Linked DNA regions of Arabidopsis thaliana. Changing the gene in region 1 together with any one later gene gives a genetic interaction. Each region holds a gene or a part of one and is shown on either strand. Other genes may lie near its edges.

The links. Genes that interact genetically often act in the same process or in processes that back each other up.
Region 2: of HUA2 (region 1) and ELF4, changing one enhances a phenotype caused by changing the other (phenotypic enhancement), as found in Arabidopsis thaliana (one study listed by BioGRID).

What each region holds. Positions count from the first base shown.
Region 1 is NC_003076.8:7,783,972-7,794,104, reverse strand, and holds HUA2 (Tudor/PWWP/MBT domain-containing protein), read right to left. Parts: upstream 8,271-10,133; 5' UTR 7,933-8,270; coding exon 7,822-7,932; intron 7,414-7,821; coding exon 7,337-7,413; intron 7,114-7,336; coding exon 5,386-7,113; intron 5,314-5,385; coding exon 4,797-5,313; intron 4,567-4,796; coding exon 4,458-4,566; intron 4,247-4,457; coding exon 4,134-4,246; intron 4,055-4,133; coding exon 3,867-4,054; intron 3,736-3,866; coding exon 3,054-3,735; intron 2,952-3,053; coding exon 2,465-2,951; coding exon of another isoform or gene 2,457-2,464; exon of another isoform or gene 2,289-2,456; coding exon 2,193-2,288; intron 2,096-2,192; coding exon 2,025-2,095; 3' UTR 1,950-2,024; exon of another isoform or gene 1,411-1,949; intron 1,374-1,410; exon of another isoform or gene 1,314-1,373; 3' UTR 1,114-1,313; downstream 1-1,113. Other genes in the region: NCLPP7 (nuclear-encoded CLP protease P7), read right to left, coding at 9,279-9,697, 9,988-10,133. UniProt on the Arabidopsis thaliana protein: Transcription factor that functions as a repressor of flowering by enhancing the expression of several genes that delay flowering including FLC, FLM/MAF1, MAF2 and SVP.
Region 2 is NC_003071.7:16,733,035-16,738,099, forward strand, and holds ELF4 (EARLY FLOWERING-like protein (DUF1313)), read right to left. Parts: upstream 1,879-5,065; 5' UTR 1,847-1,878; coding exon 1,511-1,846; 3' UTR 1,260-1,510; downstream 1-1,259. Other genes in the region: AT2G40085 (uncharacterized protein), read right to left, coding at 3,500-3,561, 3,639-3,858; ATH9 (ABC2 homolog 9), read right to left, coding at 4,651-5,065. UniProt on the Arabidopsis thaliana protein: Component of the central CCA1/LHY-TOC1 feedback loop in the circadian clock that promotes clock accuracy and is required for sustained rhythms in the absence of daily light/dark cycles.

The sequences.
Region 1 (10,133 bases):
TGCCAAAGTTCCAGATGGTTCAGCTCTGTACCAAAGGCCTGTTGCAAGACGTAAGTCACTCAACACCTTTAAGAAGACATTTTCTCGCAATTGAAGTCAAGACAAATACAAGTACATCCAAACATATCCCCAAAGGCATTTGATAACACAACAAAATAACAGGCGACTTAATGCAGAGCAAGTAGGTAAGTATTATGGAAGACTGATCTGACAAAACCCTCACACGTATACTTGATCTTCTGCTGATGCAAATAATGTAATTTCTTTGGTGAGTACTCTTACGAAAATATGTCAATCGACTTGATTAATTCCCTCAAAACAAGTCGACTGTGTCTTAAAGACAATTAAACATCAAATACAGATTCCCTCTCAATCACTGATACTTCTTTATCAACATCAAACTGTTATGTTCTTAAGCATACCTCATGCTGTTCATCATGAAACATGTGATGAGACTTAAGTGTCTAACTGGTTCCCCCCACCTTTGAACGTGCTTAACAGAACAAGCAAAAAGACCAAGAGACTATATACGCTGAGTAAAATAACCAATGACAAAGAGAGGCTACTCGTTTATCTTGACCGTATCTAGTGGTTAAGACAAAGTGCCATATATCAAAGCATCAAACTGTGGTACCAAAACCAAGAGATATATGTCAAAGAGCAAGCAAGAAGTATCTAACGCCACAAACCCAACTATGACAGAAAGGCAAAACCACTTTGAAGATATATGTATGATAACAACAGCTTCTTCAAAACCAAAAACTACAAATAAAGCTATCGAGCACAGCCTAAAAAGTAACACATATTCACGAAGCCCCACAACCACTTAAACAGGTATGTTCATGCCAATTGAACAAGACAGGCGTGTGAGGCATCCGCAAACACATGTTTAACAAAACAAATTAAGAATAGTGTTATTTTGAACAGATTATACGCCAAGCAATGAACATCATAAGCTAATATCAAGGTAATTCGAATCCTTTCTCACTTTTCCTCCTCTTATTTTCTATCTGCTAACATTCGAATATATACTTAAAGAAGAAACGAAAAGAAAATGGTTCTTCTGAGAGATCAAATGGAGAAAACACTTTATCAAGTGCTAACCATAATTATAAAGCAAAACCTCGTTATGTCACTAGCACATGGTTTGAGCTTAGAACATATATTTTCAGACAAACATATAGAAACCAGTACCTCACAAGTCTTCGACATGTTTCTTCAGATCAGCAATGCACAAGATATCAGTATGGAGATTCTTGTAAAATGGACAGACTGGATCACAATTTTTTAGAAATGGATGCTTCTTGTTCCTGCTAAAAATATGAGGCAGCGAGACATAACTTATCTCCAGAACAAAGAAATAAGCATTGGAGAAAGTAGTTATACCTACAATTGCAGCTAACATATATGTAGACCTAAAGAGACGTTACTCATTGAAAGAACAGGATACAGACTAAGCAATAGGTCTCTAGTCTAGGAACCAACAAGGGAGAAAACTCAGGCTTGCACTGAATATTCTTGCCACCTACGACTGCTCCACTAGTCAAGGACACTCTTAATAGTGTATTCATTAATCATTCTCAGAGACCAGCAAAGATTACAGAGCCCAAAAACTGAAAAAAAAAACTATGTTTGACTATGAAGATCAAATCATTCCAGTAAAAGCTTTGAGCAAATTGTGATTGGCATAATTACAGGAACTGAAGTACTAACCAATAAAAAAAGAACCTATACTGTTAAGAATATGATCCACAGATACATTTGTCAGGAAAAAAATACAATATACAGAATCCTGGCAAAAGCCTGCAGTAGTTTTTGTGCCTCTGGAAGTGGATATATCCGAAAAAGGCCTCCATGGAAGAGAAAGTAGTATAACTGTAACTGTTTGATGACAACACTGATAAAAGACTTGACTTTAGTATTTAGAAAACCAAACCTAGAGGATTAACCTTGTTAATGAGACACTAGCAGCTTCTTTTCCATTGATACTAACAGGAGCAGGCCAACAAAATTCTACCTTCACTTCAAGCTGGCCTCCAACAATTCACGGTAGGTATATCTGGCCGAGACGGTAGCATCTGGGGAGCAGTATGACCTTAAATTGGTAATTTAAAATGGTAGGGTAAGCACAAAGGTTTCTGACTGTATCTTTGAGAGTCTACAATCAGACGAATTGACTAATATAGTCTCACCTGGAATTGCAGGGACAGCTTGTAAGTTACTAGCAGCAGAAGGCTGATAGTTCATTGTCCCTGAAGGTGGACGTTCTGGAGGTGGCCGAAAGAAACCTGTAGAATTGCAAATAAGACCATCAATTTCAAGGAACTAAGCCATGGCATTAACATACAAGCTAGACAATCATAGTCAACAGAAGTATCACAATGATTACAACTCCACAAGCAATCATGCAAGTTAATAAACCTTAACAGGTAAAGGGTCTATTAGGATTTAAGCATCTACATACTGTCTGTGACTCTAGGAAGGCCTGGATGTGAATTTCTTCCATGTATCCAGGCACCATTCTGATTTTCTGCACTATGTCCACTTGAAGGAATCCGCCATGGTTCCTCATTTCTGTATCGCCGTGCATCATCACGTTGAGGTGGGAAAGGGTAAGGATGAGTGTAGGAATGCTGAGATTGTGATTGAATATGGCTTGGATACGAAAAATGACTGGACGGTGCTGAAGGCAACCTAACCATAGGTCTTTGGGACAGAGGGGTGCTCGGCTGAAACCGATGGTTCTGTGAAGAAGCTTCAGGATTGAAAAGTACATCGCTGTTCCCAAATTCTAGTTGTCTGGAGGAAGTAAATGATGAAGGCTCCCTGGAGCTGCACACTCCTGCTGGTGAAAAACTGGAGGACTGCTGCACAAAATATTCGGGTTTTCCAGCGCCCTCAACAAGACCTCCACGTGAAGAATTTCCAGGCCCCTGGACAATTTGATCACCCTGCACATGATGTCCAGGGGGTTTAAACAAAAATGATAAAAGATGCATATGTATAGTGAGGAATCATGAGTAAAATGAAACATAACAAATCAAAGAACTCACGGTGAAAATACTAGAGCGGTCTTGCTGCATAGATCCTGGGTATGTTTGATGCGATAAAGGATATGTTGGGGGAGGAAATCCTGGTTGAAATGGTATCTGATGATGGCTAGCTATGGAGAGTTGAGTTGTTAATGATTGTGAAGGCGGTGGAGGTGGAGGCGGCGGTGAAGGTGGAGGTGAAAGTGGTGGTGGAGGAGGCTGAGACGGAGGTGGTGGAAGAGGTGGGAACAGCGCTGCGGGAGGCGGTGGTGGCAGAGATGATGGCGGGAGAGGAGGGGATGGAGGTGGGGGAGAAGGTGGTAGAGGAGGGAGAGGGGGAGGTGATTCCTGAGGTAGCGGAGGAGAATCCTCTGGAAGAGGATTGAACTCGGTTGATTTTTCTGCAACAGGTTCCATAACATCCAGTGATTGCTCCTTTGTCTTATTCTCACAGAAAGAGGAAGGTGCTACATCTTTCCGCTGGCCTGATACATCTTCCATTTCAAGTTCATGATCGACATCCTCCAAAACTCGATGGCATTTATCACTCGAGGTATCATGTATTTCCAGGTCGTCTAAAGCACTGACACGTTCCCCCGCAGATGTGCTTTTTTCTTTTTGTGATGTTGGAAGATCGTCATCTTCTTCATCATCTTCAAAATTATGAGATGAAAAAAACCCTGGCAGCTGAAACGTTGCATTGCTGCAGAAAAAACGACAAACAAGTTAATAAACCCTCTACAGAATGGCAACAGACCTTGCCTGTTATTTTTTCATCAGCAACATATATAATCCGGAGAGTACACTACTAAGCAAGACAATCGTTTAGCATACCTGCCATACTCATCAACAAGCATCCCTTCCATTTCCCTGATAGGATCATCTACAGCACGCTCAGATCTAGAAGGACGTCGCAGGGAAAACCCACCAGTTGCATCATCACCAGAAGCTCTAATATCATCAATATAACGACGCAGAAGAGATTCAGGGAAAACTTTCCTTTCAAGCCACAACTTCAGGACCTAAAAAAACAAAGAGGTCACTGACTCCAGCCTACAAAACTGTAAGGATAACATAGAAACAAGCAAATAGTTTAAATACCTTCAGACATTTACGACGGTTATCACTAGCACCAGTCCCTGGAGGAGCAGCGGCACCTAAAAGACGTGGCAAAGCAGCTTGCACAGTAGGAACGTAAGAAGCACCAGCAATACCTACAAAATTCACAAGCACTGGAAATTATTTAATCTTTAATGATAATAAATATATTAGGTGTTCTCTTTGTATACAGTAAAAAACAATACAACAATGCTTGTGAATTTTTTACTTCCCTGAAATGCTAATAAATACGGTATTATTAGCATTTCAGGGAAGGAAGTGAAAATTTGAGAACAGGTATTGCATCTATCCAAGAGGAAAGCTCACCTTTTTGGCTGTGCGAATGCTGGGTGATAGAGTCGACGAGAAAGAACAAGTCCACTTTACGATGGAAGTGAGATTCACTTTCCAACTTTCGTATGAGAAGTTCCACCACCTAGATAAAAACACAAACAAATTTCCAATTAAAGCAACTATTGTCTGAACAATATTACGCACCAAATGCTGTAAATAATTTTGAGAAAGCAATTTACGTAGCAAGCTAAACATCCAAGAAGTAAAGCCAGAATAAGTGCAATTCTAAATTGATTTGATATGTGCAGCCTAACAATAAGTTTGTCGAAGCCTTAAGAAAAAACATAATGAAAAACCAACCAACCATCTTACCTCACTAGCAAGCCCATACTTGGCACAATCAATTGCTAGGCGAGTTGCACGTCCAATACTTTCCCTGGTTCTTGATAAGGTCTCTAACATGCCTTCAAAAGCATCCCGAGAAATAGCAGCCTCAGTGCTACAACTAAGTGAACCTCCAACTGACTTATGCCCTGAACTAAGTCTTCTCTCTTCATTATCATCAGTCTCAATCTGATTTCTTGATAAGGACTGATGCCCATGATTTGACGGAGAAGAACCTTGTTGATGATGACCTTGAACAACTAACGGCATTGAGATGGCAGCAGAAGCTGAAGCATTCTGAACCATAAATGGGCTATGGCTCCTCCCCTGTGTATCACTGATGCTCAAGAAACTAGGGTTCAAATTCCCAAAAATTGAATTTTGTGTATGTGCAAGTTTTCTTTTTGCCTGCGCAGCAGCAATTAGATCCTTCATAGATGCAGCCGAATCTGGGGTCTTTGCACTGGTAAATGTAGCACTCCCCTTTTCTCTATTGAGGTCAAGCCTGCAAGAAAAGAATAATTATAAGCAGTAGGCGACATACACACAAAAAGATGACAGATAGAATGTGACATACATAGCAGCAGACAAGTCCTCAGACATGTCTCTTGAACCAGAGTCATTCAAACGTGATGCAGCTTTTGAAACCACTGTTAGCCTCTCTCCAACTGAAGCTGATTTGTGTCTCTGATTTGCTGGCTGAGACTGAGAAGAGCTTATTTTGTCAGATCCCGCAACCGCCTCCTTACAAGAATCACTTTGAGGCTTCTTTGCCATCACAACACCAGAAACTTTCACCGATGATTTTACAACTTTATGCTGTCCTGCAACGTGCTTGTTAGTTAAAACCAGCTGAGGGGACATCTTCGGAGATTGCAAGATCTGTTTGACATCCTTTGGCGGCAATTCATTAATGGGTTTTACCACAGGTAAGCTATTAGTAGAATTCTCCGCATTGCTTGGTAATACACGTGATGCATCCTCACAATGTTTACGCAGAGGGAACTTTCTTACTTCAGTACTCTCTGTAGATCCAGCAGATATCTTAGCTTTTGTAGAAGTACTGTGACACACATTAGCCCTTTTAGGACCATCAGTCAAAACAGATGCTGCTTGGGGAACAATGGCTGGTTTTCCATGTAATGGGGTTTTTGGATCTTCATCATCATCTTCGTCGTAGATACAAACAGCCCTCCGTTTTTTCAGCGACTGTGCAGCTGGAGCCTTAACATTACGAACAGGAGAGGAACGGTCTTTCTGTTCCAGATGACCTTTCCCAGATTTATCACGAGACCCAGAAAAAGAAGGAGAGGTAGCATGCTCCATTGTCTGTCTCTGGCGCTTTGTATATGCAACTGCTTCTTTATCATATTGAAAATTTCCACCGCGAGCACCTAATCCTAAAACAATTTCACGCTTAATATCTGATACAGTCCCAGTAGAATCAGATCCATCATCAATTTCACACTTTACTTTATTGTCTGCACTTTCACATCGCGGCTTTTTAGCAGCACGTGAGCTTTCATCTACTCTTGGTGCAAGCTTACCTTGTTCACTTTCAAGCCTCCTTTTCTTTCCGGAAACCCCAACCTTGATGCCAGGTGAATTTTCATGCTTATCAGCAGACACTTTGGAGCTGGTTTTCTCTGTCAACAGACCTTTCGATTTTTTGGAATCAGAGTTACCACTGGCAGTTCGACCACCAGGCACATGTGAGTTATTGCTTTTGTCTCGATGAACTGTATCTTCACCTTTTCTATCAGAGCCACCTGCTTCCTTCTTAATTCTCTTACCGTTAGCCAGCTTCTTTTGGCCATTACCAAAATGTTCATTGCAAGCACTACCGTCAGTTCCTTTATCAAAATCTTCTTTCTTTATTTTAGGGTCAAATGAACTATGCTCCAGTGACTCGCTAACAGGGGATGTGGTTTTGACCTTTGATTCCAGAAATGAAGATGAATCTAGCTTCCTTATCTCAGCCTTTCTCTCCTCACCATTATTCTCATCTAATTTGGGGAAGCAAGGATCCACCCTAAAATTAAAGTTATCAGTTCTCTCAGACTCAATGACAATATGATCTGTTCCATCCACTATCTCAGCCTTTGTCAAACCAGGTTCAGTAGCATCCAGAGAATCCTCATCGCCCAAAGCATTTGACTTGTGATTCTGCAACCCTTCAAATGCAGTGCAGATTTGCTCTACAGCTTGTGCAAAGTACTTGACAGTTTTACCTTGACATCTTGCTAATAGTTTGCTCTTTGCCTCACTAGTGAAGGCTTGGATATCAGGTGGCGCAACAAAAGCTCTGCAGTAAAGGAAGATAACTTTGTCAATGATCAGTTTGTAAAAGACAAAATCAACTCCAAAGATATTGTCAGCCAAAAAGAAAAACACTTGGTAACATGTTGAAACACCTGATAACCGAGGTCTACTACTTAATTCCTAGCAACATGATATACTGACTAAAGTTCATATACCTTTCTGGATGAGAAGGTACCAGAATCAAAGAATAAAAGAGAATAGCTTACATTTCCTCTGTTCCAAAGAACTGAACAAAGTACTTCTTTGGGTCTGGCGCACGATCCCAATCTTCAGGCCGGCTGATCTGAAACTCAAAACCAAATTACTTCACAAGAGAGACTAACTAAAGAGAATTGTATTAGAGAGATTCGGAAGCTCATTATTTATCGAGATGAATAACATGTGTGTTTCATAATTCAACCATGGAATCTGACCGAGTAACTAGATAGATGAGTTAACTGACTTTCAAACCAACTTAATCATGAAGCCTAGTATCTCAACAAAAAGAAACAGAACACACTAGAGCTCAATTCGACGAAGTTAATGTGTATTCTAGAATTCGTAACGATAAAAACAGAAGACCCAACAAGTTAAAGATGATGACTATGGACTTAAGGACTATATGAGAATTCAATTAGAGAAGAAGCAAAAAAAACAAGAATCTGTGTAAGAAAAATTAAAACCCAATAGAGGAATCATAATGATAACGCACCTTGGCAGGCCAAGCAGGGAAGCCTTTGACTTTGGCGAGAACCAGATCACCGAGAACCAACTGCCCTTTGGCTTTGGCCTTGCTCGCTCCTCTTTTACGCCCAGGAGCCATAGGCGAGACCTCTATAAACCCTAATTTTGAACGCGAAATTGGAACACCCAACAGAATTACGTATTCCAATCCAACCCAGACACCCAATTAGAAGAATTCTCCGATTCCTCCTATCCGAAGATTATTCCACCGGAAGAAGCTCGCTGATTAAGGTAGTAGCGGAGACAGCTACGGATCACGAAACGAGAAACAGCGACGTAGCCGAGAGAAAGAGAGAGCGAGATTGATCCAGACAGAGAGAGATGAGGCGGTCGCGAGAGAGAGACGATGGGGTTAGGGCTGAAAGAAGGTGAAAACTTTCCAAGGAGTTTTTGTGAGAAGTTTGGTTTACTGTTGTCGGCGTTTTTTCCCCTTTCAATTTCCTTTTTCACCAAGGAGAGATCGAAATCGAAAAAGGTTTTTCCTTATTTTCCAATTTACCTTATTTTGTAGTTTAATCTCACTACTCCTAAGTCTCAACCAAATATATTATTAAGTCATTGGGTCATTTATGTCCTCTTTTCTTGTTTACACTTTCCTACACGTTTCCATTTATACTTTTAAAAAAAAGGAAAAAAAAATCATGTTTTCCATTTTTACACATTATAGAACCAACAAAATCATATAAACATGTAAACCATAGGATAAATTAACAATTCTGCTAGTATTTAAAAAACTTTTATTAGAGTGAGATTGTCCAAATATAATTCAGAGTAACAGAAGCAAACACTAGCAATTGAAGGCTCAGCTCAACACGACAAGACAACACCGTACAAGAATTTTCATAAAGATCTTAAGATTCTGTCCCTAATTCAAAGAGCATAATCAAAGACCAGTGTTAACACAAGAATATGATGTGTTCTAACTTCTTCTATATAAAAAGAGGCAAATCAGAATAGATGTGGCTTTGACTTGATGAGGTAAGCAAAAACATGAAACCGAAGAACATCGATCAAGAGCATAAGGAAACAGCAAACCCCATCTTCTAACATAAACTAACCAACTAGAACTGGGGTTTCTGAAACTAGACAATAATCTCATCATTTTAGACTTTCTAGTTAGTATAAAATGATGCATAAATCAAAGATTTGCAATGCATCAAACTGCACATAAAATTAAGACCCAAAGCCAAGCGTTAATCCAATATTCATTTTACTGAATCAGATATGAGACTGTAAACACTAAACATGCGAGGAAAAGATTTCAGAAATATAGTCATGATTGATTTATGAATGAATAAAAACAGTTTGAGAGATCATGCCCTCAGAGCATAACTTCATCCATAGAAAAAAGTAATCTAACAGGATCAAAGCAAAACTGGTAAGAGGAAAAGAAGAAAATTTATTACTTTGATTACCAGTTACTTCCTAACTTGAACTCTTATCTTTGCTTTCATTTCCAACTGCATCTTTCACCAACTCCAACGGTCTTTCATCAATCACTTCATCGATTATTCCAAACGCCTTAGCCTCTTCAGGAGTCATGAAATGATCCCTATCCATGTTATTCGCAACCACGTCAAGAGGTTGACCCGTGTGTTTGACATACAATTCATTTAACGCATCCCACACACGAACAATCTGTTTTGTATGAATCGTTATATCTTTAGCCTGTCCACTATATCCTCCTGAAGGCTGATGAATCATAACAGTTGCATTTGGAAGTGACCGCCTTTGCCCCTTGGCACCCGCTGCCAACAGAAGAGAAGCCATTGATGCAGCCTGACCCAAACAAATTGTGCTAATAGGAGAACGAATGTACTGCATAGTATCATAAATTGCAAGACCTGTATCAAAGACAAAGATTAAAGATGCGTCACAGACTCACAACAAACAATTTGAGACTCAGAAAGTGTTAACTCGTCACAAACCAGACACTCTTGAGACTGTGGACATTAAAACTAGTAGCAGGAATCAAGTTACAAATCCACAGAAGAACAAGTATCAACGAACAGTATCAAAGTTTCAACTATATCAAGTAATTGACAAAGCAGTGGCATATAGCGATCTGATTCCGAATCACACTAGTACGAATTTTGACGAAGCTAAAGATAGAAAATGGAAAGCGGAAGCGTACCGGCGGTGACATGGCCGCCAGGGGAATTGAGATACATATGGATCGGCTTCGAAGGATTCTCAGACTCGAGGTAAAGAAGCTGAGCGACGACGACGTGAGATGTGTCGTCATTAATGGGACCGTTGATGCAGATAATACGCTCCTTG
Region 2 (5,065 bases), on another chromosome or scaffold:
GTTTGGAGAAGACAAAGCCAGTAGTTGTCAAAATGGTACAGAGAATTTTGTCATAAATGAAGTATTATGACACGAAAACGTTGAAGATAGATTTGATCATGTGGTGTATTTCCTAAAAAAAGGAATATAAGTTACTTCAAAATCCTTACAATCACACAATCTTTAATATGTCAATTACATCTAATGATATGAAAATGTATCCTCTTCTATATAAAGATTAAAGAGTAAACAATATAAATGAAAATGTATCCTCATGAGTCATGATTCAAGAATAACATCAACCATATCAGTGTTGTAATGTTTCTAATCTAACACATCTTATGTCCACCACAGTCCAAATTAAGCCAAGTGCAAACTGCTTAATGACATCAACTCCAACAAGCAGTCGATTCTTGCGAGCCCGACAAACCCCATCAGGCCCAAGTAGTTGTTTTCTTTCAATTGTTTAGTTTGATATTAATGTGACCTCTGTTTTTTTATCCTTTTCGACCATCAATTATTTTTCCTGCTTAGACAAAGTAAGTTTGTAATGGTTTTGAATCGTTTTTGTATGAAATATTTTTTCTCACGAAGAACAAAATTCTTAATGCTCAACAGAAAAATCAAATTCAAATGTTACAAAGTATCGTACATAATTTCCTTATATATACCATATTACACACACAAAGAGAGCAAGAATTTGCTATTTTATGATGACTGAGAATATAAGGTACAAGAAGTTTACAAGAAAAAGTAGTGAAATCATAAATTTACTCAGTCACAGCAGAGCTAATCACTTTAAACCTCTTCATATGCCATTTTAATCCCAAAAAAAACTTATAGGTTTGATAGTTCATGTTTTGATATGAAATTGGCCATTTGTCCCCTTTCAAATAACTATGCTTCTTTTTAGTCCTTTTTGTGCAAAAGCTCTTTCGTCTTCTTAAGATCTTTGCTTTCTAGTGGTATATGAATGCCGAAATAGTTTGCCTGGGTTTTAGATCATGATCTCATGTATCAACATTTATTTTACTGCAGTTTCTGTTTGCTTTTTGATGGAAATGAATATTGTCACAACGTAGAAATTTTCTATGCTAGAGTTCTCTAATACACAGCCTAGTGAAAAGTCACTAGAAAACAACTGTATTTAACATGTCATACCAAATTGCATCACTATGTGACGAAATTACTTACTCCAAGTTGCAACAATCTAACCACAAGCCTTCATTTATTATCAAGGTCACATGAGAAAAGTCTCTAAATAGAATCAAACCAGAAGTAATCTAATACTGTATCAATTATTATTATAATCATTAGAGAGATTGCAGTAGAGACACATTGAAAAAGACTCAAAACCATAACTAAAATAACCCCAATAGAGATGGGTTTGCTCCCACGGATTATTCTAACGACAATCATCATTGCAATACAAAAACTAAACATTTACTTTATATCATAGCTTGAACCGGACAGATTCAAAATTCTCAAACCGGCCGGTCCAACTAAGAAGAAACAATTTGATTCCGGTTCATTAAGCTCTAGTTCCGGCAGCACCACCACCATCGTGACCGTTCTTCCCACCGTGAAAGCCCGACGAGAAACTAGTATTGAGATCAGAATACATGTTAACAACCTTGGAAATGTTTCCGTTGAGTTCTTGAATCAAAGCAACGTTCTTCGACATGTTATCAGCCATTCTCGATTGGTGATTGTCGTTGACTTGTTGAATCAGTGATCTGTTTCTGTCTAAAACTGATTGCACTTGTCTGAAATTCCGGTCAAGATTCTCCCACATCGCCGGATCCTCTCCCTGCTCTGCCTCCTCCGCCACGTTCCTCCGCCGTTTCGTCTCGCCGTTCCTCTTCATAATAATTTTTAATTGTGTTTTTCTCTCTTTTTGATTTTCGTCAAAGTCGAGAGAAATCAGATATTTATAGTAAATATCTTCTGAGTAGAATCGGACACCGAGGCGAGTAAGTTCTGTTTCATCACCACTTGATTAACAAGAGCGTGTATCTCACGTAGACGTATCTATCTGATATCAAAGAACACGCGCGTGAGTGAAGCTGTGAAGTGATTGGGTAGAGGAATAAAAAGTACATATCTTTTTATGCACTTTTCTTGGATTTATTTTTAATTAAACCATGGAGAGAGATAAGGATCTTATTGTAGAAATATCTAAAGATATTTATTGTAAAGTGAATATAAAGTAAAATATGAATAAAATAGGGAAAAAGGTATATGGTGTACGACTTGCCACGGTGCAGCAGGAACCAAATTCCTATACGCATGATCTCATGTTTAATGAATTGTAGTGTTTCACATCTAATTAGTTCCAAGTTTAGATAAACATTACAAAGAGTGTTAGATTCTTTAGAGAACAAACAAGAAGAAGAATCTCTAAGAAACTTTCTTTAGTTAATTCCAAGCTTCATGTTATGCAAGACAAGAGCTACAATAATCCGCAAGATATTTTTTTGTAGTATGATCAGAATTTGGTTCCCGGAACCTGGGCACTAACTACCAAAATCAAAATTCCAAAGAACCATAGTGAAACCATGATTCTCCTCCCAACTTTTTCTTCCATTACAAAGAACAAAACTTTATTTCACTTTTTTTGGCCCTTCCCTTTCGACTGTTATATATGATACAATCATCCTATAATGATAATGATTAAGATGATGAATTGCATAAATGATTCTAAAAATCATGAGTCATGACAATGGTGATGCACAAACAACTCGATGCTGAGAAGCAATAAGAGTATAGGGACCTCAATTCATTTCAGTCACCAATGAGTAATGATGAAAAACATTTAATTTATTTTTGGCAATACAGTTCTTAACCGCAACATTTTCCAAACTGTTTCACAAATGAATCCACTAACTGGAAAAACATGTGCCAGATTTTACTTAGAACGACCTTTTATGACACAATGCAATCTTGCAATAAGAGCTAAATGCGCTAAAACTTAAGCTGGCTTCTCAAAGATAAAGAAGCAGATAGGAAAACCAATAGAAATGGTAATTCTGCAACATCTAAATGGGTTGGTAAGTGGAAAGATTCAGAAGTGGACTCACAATGGCTCTAACTTGAATCCAAGTTCATAGAAGTACGAGTGGTAATCTTTATTACTACCATTCATATTGAATGCTTATTTGGTGAATACCCATAAATGAAGCAATGTCACCTTCTCGAGATATATGGGAATAAGGTTCAAATTCGTCGCAAATGTAATGTTTCTCGACCATTATGCGTTACTTGCGAAAACCATTGTCAAGGTAAAACATTTACGATAGACAACTGCATATTATATGTTATGTGGAATGTGTTTGATTCTTCCTTCAAAAAAACTTGTAATTTCTCTTTTAGTAGACTTATTGATCTGTTAAGGGTTGGCTTTGATGATTTAGAGTGATAAAGATAATTACCGCAGGAAATCATGAGGGGCAGAGAGATAGAAACATGATAGAAATAGGTTACTAGTGAAGAAACAAAAAAAAAAAGTCTAATAAACAAACTAAGAATCAGAGTCCTCTGGATCTTCCACTGATGATTCCGCTTGCTCTTCTTCTTCTCCCACTGCATTATCATCAAAATTGTTTATCTCTTTTTCTAGAAAACACAACGTAGAATAGGAAGATGAAACACACACAAACCTTCGAATTCTAGTTCCCTAAGAATGGCATTAAACTGATTTCTCAACTCGCGCAATTCCACAAGAGCTCTTTGAATCCTTTGAATGAGATGATTTTCTGCCGGAGGAGCTGCATCGGCGGCGATCACCACCGGACGGCGCTGAGAAGCTGACGGAGAAGCTTCGTCGTATAATGGAGGATCAACAACAACTGGTTTTGGAACAGCATCACTCTCTTCCATCTACAACAACAATGACAAATTCAAACAAAATGTGTAAGCTTTTTCAAAAAAGCTGTGAGACCCCAAATATCAAAATCACATCTTTAATAGACCTAATTTCATCAACAGAAATAGATTACGTGTAATAAAACAATGACCCATCAATCGAATTTTAACAATGTGCTTCTGCGATTTCGAAAGGCACTCAATTTGTTTCTCTCTAGGGTTTATCAAATGTAGGTGACACGAAACACAAAGCGAAATGATAGAGACGAAGAAAGATAGAGACTTTACCGGAGAAAATGTCCTTATTGATCGCAGGGGAGATTATAGAGCGGTGGAGACAGAAGGAGTCGCGGCTGCGTAGAAGAGACAGACAGACAGACTCGAGTGTTGAAAAGACAGAACAGAGAATAAGATCTTGGTCGCTGCATAATTCAGGTTTCTCAATTTAACCAAACCCAAAACCGAACCAAACCGAACCATCTCGGTTCAATTTGATTCAGATGTCAACACCTGTTTACATAAGGTTCTCATAAATGATGGAAAAAAATGAGTAGAAATTCTCAATTGTTTTTGTAAGAAATACTATTAAGAAGATAATAAGATTTATATAAAAAAAAATTTAAAGTAATAAGCTCTTCCCAGCATACAAATGATACAAATCTCATAGTATATATAAAGTTGATTTATTGGTTTGTTACATAACAGCCTTGTGTAGTATACAAAGAATGATAAATGTTATTTTTTGATACCCACTTACCAAAGAATAGAGAGAGGTGTGTAATATAAAATTGGCAGGAACGTTTTATATTAAAGGGTTAAGGATTTTCTGACTTGTAAGATCCAAAGTGCAAATTGCATTACCCAAAGCCTTGCTTCAACAGAGAACCCTTCAAACCATACCTTCAGCCATTTCATCAACGATTTCTTTTCAGCTCTCTTTGCCTCTAAAACCGCTTGGGAAGATACTTTCCCGATGATCAAGAACGACTCGAGAGACGATCCTTGCATTAGCTCATTGTTAACTGACCGGAGACAGTCGTTTGTTTTCAGCATCAGAAGGATCACGCGTGGCAATCTCCTGAGAAGCTCTGAGATTTCGGAGAAGTACTGTGATGCATACATCTGTAGCTCTGATACATCTTCTTTGTTGCCTTGGATGACTAAATGATCCACAGATGTGTCGATGACTTGCTTCCATGGTCTCATTGTAAGTATCCCGGCG